2 linked regions of the Saccharomyces cerevisiae S288C genome follow. Each later gene encodes a partner of the first gene's protein in a complex. Each region holds a gene or a part of one and is shown on either strand. Other genes may lie near its edges.

Region 1 (3,380 bases):
TCCAGAATCACATATTGGTGTTGCTAAGAAGTTGGAAAAAGAGATTCCTGGTGCTGTTATACTTGACCAATATAACAATATGATGAACCCAGAAGCTCATTACTTTGGTACTGGTCGCGAAATCCAAAGACAGCTAGAAGACTTGAATTTATTTGATAATCTACGCGCTGTTGTTGCTGGTGCTGGTACTGGTGGGACTATTAGCGGTATTTCCAAGTACTTGAAAGAACAGAATGATAAGATCCAAATCGTTGGTGCTGACCCATTCGGTTCAATTTTAGCCCAACCTGAAAACTTGAATAAGACTGATATCACTGACTACAAAGTTGAGGGTATTGGTTATGATTTTGTTCCTCAGGTTTTGGACAGAAAATTAATTGATGTTTGGTATAAGACAGACGACAAGCCTTCTTTCAAATACGCCAGACAATTGATTTCTAACGAAGGTGTCTTGGTGGGTGGTTCTTCCGGTTCTGCCTTCACTGCGGTTGTGAAATACTGTGAAGACCACCCTGAACTGACTGAAGATGATGTCATTGTTGCCATATTCCCAGATTCCATCAGGTCGTACCTAACCAAATTCGTCGATGACGAATGGTTGAAAAAGAACAATTTGTGGGATGATGACGTGTTGGCCCGTTTTGACTCTTCAAAGCTGGAGGCTTCGACGACAAAATACGCTGATGTGTTTGGTAACGCTACTGTAAAGGATCTTCACTTGAAACCGGTTGTTTCCGTTAAGGAAACCGCTAAGGTCACTGATGTTATCAAGATATTAAAAGACAATGGCTTTGACCAATTGCCTGTGTTGACTGAAGACGGCAAGTTGTCTGGTTTAGTTACTCTCTCTGAGCTTCTAAGAAAACTATCAATCAATAATTCAAACAACGACAACACTATAAAGGGTAAATACTTGGACTTCAAGAAATTAAACAATTTCAATGATGTTTCCTCTTACAACGAAAATAAATCCGGTAAGAAGAAGTTTATTAAATTCGATGAAAACTCAAAGCTATCTGACTTGAATCGTTTCTTTGAAAAAAACTCATCTGCCGTTATCACTGATGGCTTGAAACCAATCCATATCGTTACTAAGATGGATTTACTGAGCTACTTAGCATAAATAAGAACCCACGCTTCAAATAAAAGCAAACATAGAAGCAAAATCCGTCATTCCTTTCCTATTCAATTGCACCGTTCTCTTTATATAACTACTTAATTAAATAGCGCCTATACGAAGCAGCATTGTTCTATTATTTTTACAAATTCCTTATCATGCATGCATCACATCAGTGTTTGAATCTGTTAACTTTTCACTTTATTGCTCTTACCCGACTCTGAAGAAAAACAAAAAAACAGCGACATGTTGGAAAGGTCGGGCAGTAAAGCAGAATTTCAGAAATACTAGTACGATTGTTTGAGGTCTTGCGAAACCGTGCATTCATAATAGCACCTTTTTCAGTCGCTCATCCGGTCGTCCTATCTGTAAACGTCACTGTCAAACACGTTGCATTGATTAGATTTTATTATTTTATATATAGGTATATTTAGAAAACTCACAACTGGAGAAGACGAAGAACGAAGAACGAAGGAAAAAAATTGATGACAGATCCCAGAAGAAGAACAGGCCGTCATTTCTTGACACCGGAGAATTTATCCTCTACATTACAAATCACAAACTTACCTCCAGAATGGAACCAAGATATAATTACTTCGGTCGTGGCCGGTTCTGGTCCAGTTATAGATATAAAAGCTAAGAATGACCCGAGAACTGGTAAACTAACCGGTGTACTGTTCGATTATTTGACTAGTAAAGATTGTAAACGCGCTTGGGAAATTTTAAATAGAATTGAAAACTTTCCCGTAAAGATAGAGCAAATAATCCCACCAAATTATAAGGACCATCTTAGAGAAACAGCAAATAAAAATTCTCAAAAGCAGGTATTACAACTTAATAGAGATTCGTACCCCTTCGAGGCGGGTTTGGAGCTACCTTTCGAAATGGTGACAGAAGTCCCCATTCCTAGGCGACCACCGCCACCACAGGCTGCAAATAACACAAACTCTGTATCAAATAACACAAACATTCAATTCCCCGACATACTAAGTAAAGCATCTAAACACTTGCCAAGTTTCCAAGATGGCTCGATTATTGCACCAGACAAAATTTCACAAAATTTAAGTAAAATTCCGCCGTTGCAACTTATTGAAATTATATCAAATTTGAAAATATTATCAAACCAAGAAAACATCCAAAAATCGCAATTAGAATCTTTCTTAGATACTAACAGTGATATCACAATATCAGTGACCCAAGCCCTACTAGAAATGGGATTTATAGACTACAGCGTGGTGACTAAAGTGTTGAAATCCCAAGTTGGCGAGGCCCCATCTTTGCTTTCGAGTAATAACACAAGTAATTCGAACACCCCCGTAAGCGTAATTAGAAATAACACTCCGTTGCATGTACCTTCTAATGAAGTCAGCAACAATCCTAACAATATGCCACTGAACGTAGCTATGCCAATGCCTATGTCGACACCACCATTTATCCCTTTACCTCTGCAACAACAACCGTTCGGTTTTGCGCCACCGGGCCCTTTCATGCCTCCAGCTCAAGGCCCCTCCATGGGACAGCCTGTGTTGGCAAATCAACTCGGCCAGGTCCAGCAACAAAATATAAGTTCTACAGAAGGACCCTCTAACGCGAATAAAGCGAATGACAGCGGCACCATTAATATGGCGAAACTGCAATTACTACCTGAAAACCAACAAGATATGATCAAACAAGTTCTTACTTTGACACCTGCCCAGATCCAAAGTTTACCAAGTGACCAGCAACTTATGGTGGAAAACTTTAGAAAAGAATATATAATCTAAGTAATCAGAGCCATAGCGTATCAGAAAACCACACCTAATTAGATGGTTCTTGCATCTGTACCTCTTATCACTAAAAGCGGCACTAAACTTCCAACATTAAATGTTTGCCTTGTTAAATATATATTTTTGCCTTGGTTTAAATTGGTCAAGACAGTCAATTGCCACACTTTTCTCATGCCGCATTCATTATTCGCGAAGTTTTCCACACAAAACTGTGAAAATGAACGGCGATGCCAGAAACGGCAAAACCTCAAATGTTAGATAACGTGGATCTCCGACACATGTGAATTTATAAGTAGGCATATGAAAATACAGATTCTTTCCACTGTGTTCCCTTTTATTCCCTTCTCATGTGAAGAGTTCACACCAAATCTTCAAAATATAACTAATATAGTAGAGTTTGATTCAAAGGACCTTTTTTTTTGCCTCTTTGATTAGTTTATCTTCTTTTCTTCATTTTATCCCCTAATTTTATACGTTAGTTCAACCTAACAATCCAG
Region 2 (2,733 bases), on another chromosome or scaffold:
TATTAGGGGAAGTATATCCTGAGCGAGACGAAGAATCTGGCGCTGAACAATGTGAACAAGACTGTCGATATCGCGGTGAAGCGGTTAGTGACGGGTTTTTAAGCTCTCTTTTTGGTAGGGAAATTTCTTCTTACACAAAGGAATTTCTTTTGGATGTACAATCAAGGGTCAACTTTACATATCGGACAAGATTTGTTCCTATAGCAAGGGCGCCAGATGGGCCTTCACCTTTAAGTCTAAATTTATTAGTACGTACAAATCCGATCAGTACAATAGAGGACTATATAGCAAATCCTGATTGCTTTAACACTGATATTGGGTGGGGGTGTATGATAAGGACAGGACAAAGTTTGTTGGGGAATGCCTTACAAATCCTTCATTTGGGCAGAGATTTCAGGGTAAATGGTAACGAAAGTCTGGAAAGAGAATCAAAATTTGTAAATTGGTTTAATGACACGCCTGAGGCTCCATTTTCGTTACATAACTTTGTTTCTGCAGGTACAGAACTCTCTGATAAAAGACCAGGTGAATGGTTTGGTCCCGCAGCTACGGCAAGGAGTATACAATCTTTAATATATGGCTTCCCCGAATGTGGCATCGATGATTGTATAGTATCTGTTTCATCCGGCGATATCTATGAAAATGAAGTTGAAAAAGTATTTGCTGAGAATCCAAATAGTAGAATATTGTTCTTGTTGGGCGTGAAGCTCGGGATTAATGCGGTAAATGAGAGCTATAGAGAAAGTATATGTGGTATCTTAAGTTCAACACAGTCAGTAGGCATTGCCGGCGGTAGGCCGTCTTCATCGTTGTATTTTTTTGGTTATCAAGGAAATGAATTTTTACATTTCGATCCTCATATTCCTCAACCGGCAGTAGAAGATTCATTTGTAGAGTCGTGCCATACCAGTAAATTTGGTAAATTGCAACTATCGGAAATGGATCCCTCGATGCTCATTGGTATTTTGATTAAGGGCGAAAAAGACTGGCAACAATGGAAGCTAGAAGTTGCAGAATCTGCTATTATCAATGTTCTTGCTAAGAGAATGGATGACTTTGATGTGAGTTGTAGTATGGATGACGTGGAAAGTGTAAGTTCTAACTCAATGAAGAAAGATGCAAGCAATAATGAAAATCTCGGAGTACTAGAGGGAGACTACGTAGATATTGGTGCAATATTCCCACACACAACAAATACAGAAGATGTAGACGAATATGATTGTTTTCAAGATATTCATTGCAAGAAACAGAAGATTGTTGTTATGGGAAACACACACACTGTTAATGCGAATTTAACAGATTATGAAGTAGAAGGCGTCCTTGTAGAGAAGGAAACGGTAGGTATTCACAGTCCTATTGATGAAAAATGCTAGTGTAAGGAATTCACTAGTTCATAAGCATATATACTTGTTTTAATATATTCCCTAAAACTGAGGTATCCAGTTCTTTTGTTCTTATTCGTTTGATCATCCTTTACGTATTTTTCGTCTGCGGCAGTGGAAAGAACTTAAAAAACGAAAGATAATAAAGAAAAAGGCCAGTCGGCACGAATTAAAGACCACCTGTAAGAAGATTAAGACAACGGTGGTATAAACTAGTGTCGAAGTCCAAAATGCCTAGTCATCGCAATTCAAACTTGAAGTTTTGCACAGTTTGTGCATCAAACAACAATCGTTCAATGGAATCGCATAAAGTCCTGCAAGAAGCAGGCTATAATGTTAGCTCTTACGGAACAGGTTCAGCTGTGAGACTGCCTGGTCTATCGATAGATAAGCCTAATGTGTACTCATTTGGTACACCCTATAATGATATATATAATGATCTTTTATCACAATCAGCAGACCGTTACAAGTCGAACGGTTTATTGCAAATGCTGGATCGTAATAGAAGACTCAAAAAAGCACCTGAAAAATGGCAAGAAAGTACAAAAGTCTTCGACTTCGTTTTCACTTGTGAAGAGAGATGTTTTGATGCCGTTTGTGAAGATTTGATGAATAGAGGTGGGAAATTAAACAAAATAGTGCATGTAATTAATGTTGACATTAAAGATGATGATGAAAATGCTAAAATTGGTAGCAAAGCTATATTGGAATTAGCTGATATGCTCAATGATAAAATAGAACAATGTGAAAAAGATGACATTCCCTTTGAAGATTGTATAATGGACATTTTAACTGAGTGGCAAAGCTCACATTCTCAACTACCGTCATTATACGCTCCTTCATATTACTAAACAAAACGGTCAATTACTGTAGAAAAGCATAAGCATTAAGCGGCCCTCATGAATCCTACATTATCCGTGAAATTTCAATACTTTCACAAGTCTTCGATAGCTTCCTAGTTATATTCATTATATAATATTACGTTTCTTGTTGCGGCTCTCTTAAGCACATTATTTGCTTGTTGTCCACATAGCTATTTTTTTATCAAGAAGCTTGATATACAACACACTGTATTTTTAGTAAGCTGGACAATGTCTTGTCTCAATGTAGCGTATAACAGGTTTCATTCCAAAACACATCACCAGATATAGGACTGAAATGAAGAAAATAGAAGCATGAAACTTTAAAAGTTTCAGTACTTTAAGAAAGAAATAAATAGAAAAATGTTCCATTTATTTCTGAAAATAAATCAAAAATTATAAGATCCACCCGTTCCTACCAAGACCTTCCAAAATTTTTCCCATAACGGGAACGAGCAAAGTTGAGACTGCTCAAAAGAGCACATCTTCAA

Evidence for each region. Proteins that work in one complex are often made in the same cells at the same time.
Region 2: PTI1 (region 1) and SSU72 share a complex: the UniProt entries of both Saccharomyces cerevisiae proteins name them as parts of the APT complex.

The regions. Positions count from the first base shown.
Region 1 is NC_001139.9:798,944-802,323, forward strand, and holds PTI1 (cleavage polyadenylation factor subunit PTI1), read left to right. Parts: upstream 1-1,602; coding exon 1,603-2,880; downstream 2,881-3,380. Other genes in the region: cystathionine beta-synthase CYS4, read left to right, coding at 1-1,123. UniProt on the Saccharomyces cerevisiae protein: Component of the cleavage and polyadenylation factor (CPF) complex, which plays a key role in polyadenylation-dependent pre-mRNA 3'-end formation and cooperates with cleavage factors including the CFIA complex and NAB4/CFIB.
Region 2 is NC_001146.8:227,482-230,214, forward strand, and holds SSU72 (RNA polymerase II subunit A C-terminal domain phosphatase), read left to right. Parts: upstream 1-1,612; coding exon 1,613-2,233; downstream 2,234-2,733. Other genes in the region: cysteine protease ATG4, read left to right, coding at 1-1,373. UniProt on the Saccharomyces cerevisiae protein: Component of the cleavage and polyadenylation factor (CPF) complex, which plays a key role in polyadenylation-dependent pre-mRNA 3'-end formation and cooperates with cleavage factors including the CFIA complex and NAB4/CFIB.